2 linked regions of the Arabidopsis thaliana genome follow. The protein of the gene in region 1 interacts with the protein of each later gene in a biochemical or structural test. Each region holds a gene or a part of one and is shown on either strand. Other genes may lie near its edges.

Region 1 (5,111 bases):
GTTTCTCCTTCGTTTTATCATCTGCTCTTTTTCATAAGGATTCCATACTCCTTGGGAGCGAGCTCTGGTTGTTTTTTCACTCGCAGTTTGCGCGTAGTCAGCTGCACTATCTTTCCCACCATCACGAAAAGCCAGCCACTGTAAGAATGAATTGACTCAGCCTATGTTCCATAAGGTATGCCAAAATATCCACAAACTAGTGCAGCTTAGATTCAACAAACTACAGTGCCACATATTGTAAGCCTGACCTGTTCCCCAAGTTGTGTCTCAAAGCCACCAACAAGTAGAAGCAGATTAGCAGGCAGGCTTTTGCTCTGTATAGACAAGCAGAATAACAAGTTGATTTCACTATTAGCCACCAAGGAGATGTAATTGCTAAGAATCTATTTAGCATTTTTGCATGGCTATTTATCCAACCTGGAGAAAAGAGTGTGCATTAAGCTCGTTTGCTGCCATCATGTCAGCCTCAACTCCACCAGCACGCTGTCCGGGGTAGACCTTTACAGAGACAAGTATGTGAGGGAAAGAATGAATGCAAAGCAATAAAATATCCAAATGAAGTTTTGATGATTCTAATAATGTAAGGAGGACTCGCACAGCTGAACAAAATATGCCCAGATAATGTAGAGAGACTCATGAAAAATGGAAACTGCCTTCAGGAAAAGAACAATATTGGCTGAGAAGAAGAAACAAGATTGACAAAACATGCAGAATCACCTTAAAGACGACAGGCGTTCCTCGAAATGGACCCTGAGATATTCGTCCTTGATATAGTCTGCATACAAACTGCTGTGGCTAATACATTTTTAACTTGACCAAATATATTACCATCTAATAAATTGTCTACACAAAGCCAAAAGTGCACCTGATCTTAACGGCACCTTCTCCAATATCTTGAGATTTTAATCGCCCAATATCATCAGACGTATATTCAAAGTCAGATCCTGACTGCAGCCCTGTATAACTAGGAGTATAGAAGTGGTGAAAAGCTAAGTAAACGAAGTAGAACACAGCGGCAGATAAAAGAGTAAAACTAGACCAACAAACGTAGCATAATCTAGCTAAAGATGCACAATAATCATAAGAAAGGTCAATGTATCCCAATTCAAATACACTAACAAAAGTGATTTTTTTGTTAAACCCTTCGAATAATTGTCAAGCTCACGTATACATTGCAATGAGTGCATAAACCTGTTGCAACTACAGATTCACACATACACAAACAATTTCGATATAAAATTAGAGATTTCGTTACACGAAGACGTAGAAACAACACAGAAGCTCCAGATAAAGAGAGAAATCAAAAATCCAGTGAGAGTACCTAGTTACATTCATGAATCCGTAGCTTCCGATAAGCCGCCCTACCTCGAACGAGTCAGCACTGGTTATCAAACTCGCTGTCACCGCATGCAACCGCCGAATCGGCCGATTCCGTCCACGCGAATTTACAATCCGACAGCCGGAGAATCCATCGCCTGATTCTCTATGTTTCAAAGAGAAACGCGAAACGCATTCGAAGGAAACGCGATGAATAGCGACCAGATTCATCGCTTTTGTTTGTGTTTCGTCGCTTCACTTCAAATTACTTTCCAGGATTTAACGAGTGTCAGTGTCAGTATAAGAGAGAGAGAGATAAGAGCCAGGAAAGTTTTCTCTGTGTCTTACGTGGCTTTTAATATACATAATTAAATGATATAATCGTGCGTCGTATAGATAAATATCTGAGATAATCTTATTAAATTTTAACGGTGTATATTATGCCACGTATGAAACTCACCGAGAAAAACAGAAAAAGCTGCTATCGATGCTACGTGTACTTTTAAACCGAATTAATCCGAACCAAATCAAAATACACGAAATGAAACCGTTTAATTTAGGTGACAGTCAGAGTGTCTACCAAAACTAATCGTACAAAACCGAACTGAATTGAACCGAAATGGCCATGCCTGCTTTTCTTCAGCTTTAAGGGAAAAGATCAAAGATTGGGTCTTCAACACTTGAGAGAGTCTCTGTCTCTGTAAAAGATATTTGAGCTTGAGAAGAACAGAAGAAACTTCCAGGATCAATCAATCGATCAACTTTAGTGAACTAACTCTTGATTTTTCATTCGAAGTTATGGAATCGGTTCCCGAATCCGTACCATCGCCGAACTCGAATACACCGTCAATACCACCGCCGGTGAACTCCGTACCGCCTTTCTTGAGTAAAACCTACGACATGGTTGATGATCCGTTGACCAATGAGGTCGTTTCGTGGAGCAGCGGGAACAACAGCTTCGTCGTCTGGAGTGCCCCGGAGTTCTCGAAGGTGCTCTTGCCCAAGTATTTCAAGCACAACAACTTCTCCAGCTTCGTCAGACAGTTAAATACTTATGTAAGCATCATTTTTTGTGTTATTGTCAATTTATTTTTCTAGAAATTGATCGTTTTTTCGTGGTACAATTTGGGGAACATCGTGAAATGTTGAAGGGTTCTAGTCTTAGTGACTAGATCCATGGATGTGTTGGATTATTTTTAAAGCCATATCAATCTGTCTACTCATCAAAAGATTCCACAGAACTTTGCAGGCGCACTGTCACATATGTCTGAAGATTGTTTCCTCAATTGTTTTCTGCCTTGTAGCTCTAACAAAACAGAATGTCTATCAGTTGTCTGAACATTAGCTTTGTTTTCATTTGTATATTTCCGTCCAGGTACACTTTTTTGATAAACTAAGAACTATTACTTTCCTTATAACATGGTGATTTTGTGCTACACCCAAGCATAGTGTGGAGAATTTGTTTACTTCTCAAACTTTGCTATAACTAGAACATATAACTAATCTGGTCTGTTTTCTAGTCTACCTGTTTAATGTTTATACATTTTTGTACAATTGCGCTATGTTGGCTTTTCTTCTTCCCCTAAATTCAAGCAACATCGTTTCAGTTCTTCAATTTGAATTTCGATATTTATGATAGCCTCTCTGTATTCTGATGTCCAGGGTTTCAGAAAAGTTGATCCTGACCGATGGGAATTTGCAAATGAAGGATTTCTTAGAGGCCGAAAACAACTACTGAAGAGTATTGTCAGGAGAAAACCTTCGCATGTGCAGCAGAATCAGCAACAAACTCAAGTTCAGAGCTCATCTGTTGGTGCTTGTGTCGAGGTGGGGAAGTTTGGAATAGAAGAAGAAGTGGAAAGACTTAAGCGGGATAAGAATGTTCTTATGCAAGAACTCGTCAGGTTAAGGCAGCAACAGCAAGCTACTGAAAACCAACTGCAGAATGTGGGACAGAAAGTTCAGGTGATGGAGCAAAGGCAACAACAAATGATGTCGTTTTTAGCAAAGGCTGTTCAAAGTCCAGGTTTCTTAAACCAGTTAGTACAACAGAATAATAATGATGGCAACAGACAAATTCCAGGAAGCAACAAAAAGAGGAGACTTCCTGTAGATGAGCAGGAGAATCGTGGTGACAATGTGGCTAATGGTCTTAACCGCCAGATTGTTAGATATCAGCCGTCGATAAACGAAGCAGCACAAAATATGCTTCGACAGTTCTTAAATACTAGTACCTCACCTCGGTATGAATCAGTTTCAAACAATCCTGACAGTTTCCTATTGGGTGATGTTCCCAGTTCTACCTCTGTAGACAATGGGAACCCTTCAAGTAGAGTTTCTGGAGTAACATTGGCCGAGTTTTCACCCAACACAGTTCAGTCAGCAACGAATCAAGTACCCGAAGCAAGTTTGGCTCATCATCCTCAAGCTGGTCTGGTTCAGCCAAATATAGGTCAAAGTCCGGCTCAAGGAGCAGCACCTGCAGACTCTTGGAGCCCTGAATTTGATTTAGTTGGATGCGAGACAGATAGTGGAGAGTGTTTTGATCCAATAATGGCTGTTTTAGATGAGTCAGAAGGCGATGCAATTTCTCCTGAAGGTGAGGGCAAGATGAATGAGTTACTGGAGGGAGTCCCTAAGCTGCCCGGAATCCAAGATCCATTCTGGGAACAGTTCTTTTCTGTTGAACTCCCAGCGATTGCAGATACAGACGATATTCTATCAGGATCAGTGGAGAATAATGACTTGGTATTGGAACAAGAACCAAACGAGTGGACCCGTAATGAACAACAAATGAAGTATCTTACTGAACAAATGGGACTGCTTTCCTCAGAAGCACAGAGGAAATAAAGGTAAGAACATCGTTAAGTTCAAACATGTTTCTCTGCATTGTTGTATATCTTGAGAGTTATCAATTGTCTCTCACAATGTAGATTTTCAGGGGAGGTTGCAAAAGGAGATATGAAGGAACGAGGAATATATCAGATGGTGTGTATACCCTTTACATTTTTACTTAAATGAAAAAAAAACAGAGAGAAGAAACATAAAAGATTTACCACCAAGCTTGTGAATAGTTAGTAGAGATCGGTTTTTGTGTTGTTTATATTATACTTTTGTGTGAAAACGTTCATCTTGTTCAATTATCATCTCACTAGTACGGTAATCTGTTGGTCACTGACCGGTTAATGACCAAAAAATCAAGATTATTTTCTTATGTTTATTTCTTTTGATCATGAAGATCCTTATGATGGAGTAATACATTGATTAAACATTCACACGATGAGAAGTTAAGATCAATTTGGTTGAATGGGGAAGATGGAGTATAAAGAATCTGTACATTAGATATATATCTTTAATGGGTCTTTGTATAGTTTCCATAGATTCGCTTGATGCTTGAAGATTGAAGCTTGGAGTTATATGTTTGATGCTTAGACCAAGACAACGATGATGACAATGAGTAGAACAATCCCAAAAATGAGAATAAGTAGGCATGTCTGCAACAAAGTAAAAGACAACAAACTTAGCTTAAGCTGCTAAGAATATGAAATCACAGAACTGAAAATGAGAAGAGAGTCTGTTTAGTCCGTACCAAAGAGGAGTTTGATCTTTGAGTTTTAGCTGCTTTTCTGAGTTGAACAGTGGCTTGTGTAGTTGCAGCATGTGAGTTGTCAAGGTTAGAGCTGATGTCATCTGCCAGTGCACATTATAGTTTTTTTCTGAGACTTTAAAAAGGCAAAGAGAAAACGAACAGGGAGATTTACAATTTCTGATTGTTTGGAGTTACTTACCGACAA
Region 2 (4,236 bases), on another chromosome or scaffold:
AGAAAAAATAGTCAAAACAAAATAACAAAGCATTGATATTCGAAGATACACTTTATTTGCTCCTCCGGGGTCCTCAAGGGGCTTTGTCACAGAGAAATAAAAACCAAAGTTTTGGAGAAAAGGGGTTTTGGACCGCAAACTCATACCTCATGACAAGCATAAACCAACTCATCACCAGTTGTTTATTGATTTATTCGATAATGATAGTCTTGTGACTACTTTTCTATCTAGTGTGTTTCTTTGAAACCTTGCAATTTTCAACATTTTAAACAACTTTTGTTTTTAGTTGTAAACGCAGGCTAAACATATCCTCTTTGAAAATATATTCACATTGGGCAAAAATAGACTGTTAAAAAATTTCTACCGACCTTTTTCATGTAAACACAAATGCGAAATAATCAAAGCCTAATACAGCTATGAGATTCGATTTTGATAAATCGATCAGTCTAACTATGGCTCCTATACTTTAACCTTTTCTAAATTCAAAATCTGAAAAAATAAAACCGGAATCAAACCCAAAAATGGAACAATGAACTTGGTTTGTCTATTCCCCCTGATAAGTTGCGTTTAAGTATCGACAGTAATATGAATTATAGGAGCATAAGAAGACTTCTTAGTTCTCTCAAGACCAAAATAGAAATGCAATTCATAGGTGGAGAATAATGTAATGCACCACATCATCAATCTATTTGATGAACTTTAATAAACAACAAACTCGTTTCTTAAAACAGGAATTTTAAAAGTAATACTGCCTGCTCTTAACATATTTCATAGTTTTTCTTTTTCCTTCGGACATGTCAATGAACACCACATTCCTTTTTAAGAGGAACTAGCCGGTGTTTTGGGTTCATCGCCTGATTTGGAGGCTGGAGGAGGAGTGCCTTCTACTCCCATCTCGGCTCTTAGATCATTGATGCTTTGCTCCAGCTCATTGATTCTGCCTCCCATGTCATCAAGTGAACCATCAAATCAAAATCAAAGTCAAGGAGATCAAAACCAATGTCATGAACACAAGATTGCTGATCAAAGAGTTACCACAGATTACAAACTTGTATCAGTTCATGGTGATAAAGTTGCTTTTGTTTAGAATATATAGCGAGCAGAAGAACAAGCATGCATATAATAGCAACTTAACAAGAGAAAATACCATAGAACCATGTGCTACTACCCATAGAATAGACATTTAGACTCTCAAGAAATACTTTAATCAGAAAAATAGACAGATTCTAATGATAATTCTCAATACCTAGTACTAAACTTCTTTCCTTGAAGACACAAATAATCAATCATCATTACTGGTTCTAGGAGGGAAACATTTCATATATTCTACTTCAAGCAACACTCAAGTAAAACCACAGATTGATATAAGGATATTCTTTGTGATGATGGAGTCCGACATTGTCTGGAACCTGGTTTGCTGAAACACACAAATGTGACCAAATTTAATCAAAATCTACCTATTGAAGGTATAATTCCAAGGCCTACGAAGACATAAAAGCTGAAAAACCTACCATCTGCTGGAGAAGATTTTGGACCTGCATATAAAAATTCAAGGATTCAGTGATAAACCAAGTGAAATTGTCTCAAAGTCACAAAAATACCAAACAAAGAGAACGAGAATACTCACAAAAGCAGTCATATCAGCAGTGCTCTGCTTAGTATCCTCAGAATCATGACCATCCTGTCAGCAAAAGAAAAAAAAAACTGTAAGAAGAAACTCAAAGACACAGTAAATATAACAATCATCAGGACAAGAAATTGAAGCTTTATACTAACGAAAAAAAATTGTTACAAGGAAAGAAACAAGCATGAACTATTGCCCATTGAGAATATTTCTATCTGAACTTTCTTAGTACTACTAGCATTACACACAGCAAACTCGATACATGAACATTTCTAAGTAAGAAAAAGGACGAAAAAGTTAACTTATACTGAATCTCCCCATCAGATCCTGGACTTCACGATACTAGAGTTCTTGAAAAGCCGAATTCACAAGTTCAAAATCCACAGATGAAAACAGAAAATCGAGCAAATGCAAAATCTTATTGTAACCCAGCAAAAGATGCTCTAAATCGTCCAGATTTCACTATAAACTCAACATTTCGATAATTGATCTACAATAACAGAACAACCATAAGAATATCATGCGAGATTCCCACTAAACCGTAAAAAAACCTAATCCGAAGATATATCCTTAAATGCAATCGACAAATCCGAATAAACGAGCCTAGGTTTCGTGAACGAAAACGCAAAATCGAAAAAGCGCAATGATATTAGGAGGCGGATATTTACCATTTTTAGGGTTTTCTTGCGAGTGATCGGAAAACTGGAGAAATTTTGATTTCAGCGAAAAGCGATGAGAGACGACGGAGGAGAAGAGTGATGCGATGTTTATAAAACGAGAAGAGAAACGCTGTTACTGTTAACCCCAACCTTATAGGTATACAATGTCCAAAATGCCCCCTCTTTACTTTAGTTTCTATCGTTATGATTCGATTGGGTGGGATCATGTGTGTGTGATTCAAATTTCAAATATTTTTATGTACGTTTGGTATTGAGATCTAGATCTTAGGATGATTCAAATCATTATTGTGGATGTTCAAATCTGCAAACATTTATTTGTAATCATCTTATTTGTAAATTTGGCTTAACTTTTTGTTCCTCTTGATGATTAAAGGCAGACCAATTCGAATTGTGTTGTATAACGACTTATCTCACTAATGGCATAAACCCTGACACATTGATGACTGAAGTATGTAGATTTGGAACAGCCTATTTGTTTCTTACCATCAATAGATATATTAACGAGGTTGTTGAACACTATCATGATTTTACAAGAGAAATGAAACACATGATTTATATAATTATATGATTACAACCAAAAGACATACATAAGCATCTTATCTCCATGTGAGAGATTCTAATCCTCCACAACCCAATAGAGGAAGAAGTAACAAACCTGACCACAAGACAATCAGGAGACAAGTGAAATGTTGCTTATCCTCACACCATTGGTATTTGATATAGTTAATTTTCGTGTATTATCAATGGAATACAAAAGACACGACGATCACATCTGATATGTTACAACTTCTACAACAAGAGCAAATTCCAATTTTAAATATCTTTTCCAGAAGTGAATACGGATATCAACATAGGAACCAAACCTAAAACAGACATGGAGCCTCTCATCCTCACCAAGATCTTCCCTTCTTCTTGTACATTTCTTCTACAGTCTCGGCTTCCAATGGAAAACCCTGCGTGCACATCAGATGTATCTAGATAGATACCGAACCTTTTTGTTGCTTGGAATCCAAGTCTTCCTCTTCTGGTTCTTACACGACCAAGTACAGTTCCTTTTTCATGTTGTCTCTCCACGTCTTCTGATTCTTGATTCTCCACGAGAAGTGTTTCTTGCTCGAGACATTCTTGACTCTGTTCGTCCCATATAATTTCAGGGTAAGAATCCAGTAATTTCCTTTTCTTCTCCTCCAAATCATCATGTGAATGAGAAGTGTGCCCTGAGTTAAGTAACACATTCCACAAGGAACAGAATAGAGTGAAAGAGCTAAGCTGGGAGCCAAAGACACCGGCCTTTTCTACATCGGTATTCTGCTTTTGCAAAGAACCGGCTTTAGACCGGATCTTAACTGAGCAACATAAGATCAGCAAGTTCAATCTCCAATCCGAACATGTAGATTCGCTGCTTTTGTTTGCGGAGAAGAAGCTCATGTTGTTCTCTGCCAGAACAATTCCTAGGCATCTTGCTCTGGTCTATACAGCTTAACTCTGGAACTGCTTGTCTGATTGATTGATGCATAAGAGAAGATCTCTGAGAAATAAACTCCTTGTAGCTTAAAGAATCTACAACATCGGAAGCTGCATGAGTTAGAACCACGATAGCATTTTTCCATATTGACGAGCCCAGGGAACTGGTGATGATTTTAAGTAAACGGATGTCTGGAGTGTCATCTAGACGGTCAATATAGAGGTGATATCAACTGGGAACTTTCTCATGCTTTTCTTTATTGACATAAGGACTTCCTGATTAAACTGTTCCTCAGTTGCAGAGGACAAGAGTCCTGGCGTATCAAGTATACTTATCTGGATTCCTCCTACATTCCCAACAACATAATTTGCAGAGTTAGTGGTAACTCCAAATGCACCAACAGCAGATTTAGTCTCCCCAAAAATAGAATTAACCGTTGCACTTTTTCCCACCCCAGTTTTCCCGAT

What was found. The genes of interacting proteins can lie anywhere in the genome.
Region 2: the proteins of HSF3 (region 1) and HSBP form a complex in vitro, tested with the Arabidopsis thaliana proteins (one study listed by BioGRID).

Annotation. Positions count from the first base shown.
Region 1 is NC_003076.8:5,528,331-5,533,441, forward strand, and holds HSF3 (heat shock factor 3), read left to right. Parts: upstream 1-1,864; 5' UTR 1,865-2,115; coding exon 2,116-2,373; intron 2,374-2,979; coding exon 2,980-4,167; 3' UTR 4,168-4,169; intron 4,170-4,250; exon of another isoform or gene 4,251-4,258; 3' UTR 4,259-4,559; downstream 4,560-5,111. Other genes in the region: AT5G16810 (Protein kinase superfamily protein), read right to left, coding at 1-138, 249-314, 418-498, 718-775, 866-964, 1,322-1,548; SYP21 (syntaxin of plants 21), read right to left, coding at 4,746-4,811, 4,907-5,007, 5,106-5,111. UniProt on the Arabidopsis thaliana protein: Transcriptional activator that specifically binds DNA sequence 5'-AGAAnnTTCT-3' known as heat shock promoter elements (HSE).
Region 2 is NC_003075.7:8,986,045-8,990,280, forward strand, and holds HSBP (heat shock factor binding protein), read right to left. Parts: upstream 2,618-4,236; 5' UTR 2,296-2,617; coding exon 2,293-2,295; intron 1,682-2,292; coding exon 1,628-1,681; intron 1,536-1,627; coding exon 1,512-1,535; intron 1,418-1,511; coding exon 1,375-1,417; intron 957-1,374; coding exon 820-956; 3' UTR 554-819; downstream 1-553. Other genes in the region: AT4G15810 (P-loop containing nucleoside triphosphate hydrolases superfamily protein), read right to left, coding at 3,118-3,769, 4,034-4,236. UniProt on the Arabidopsis thaliana protein: Negative regulator of the heat shock (HS) response. Affects negatively HSFA1B DNA-binding capacity in vitro. Involved in acquired thermotolerance but not basal thermotolerance. Crucial for seed development, after fertilization and during embryogenesis.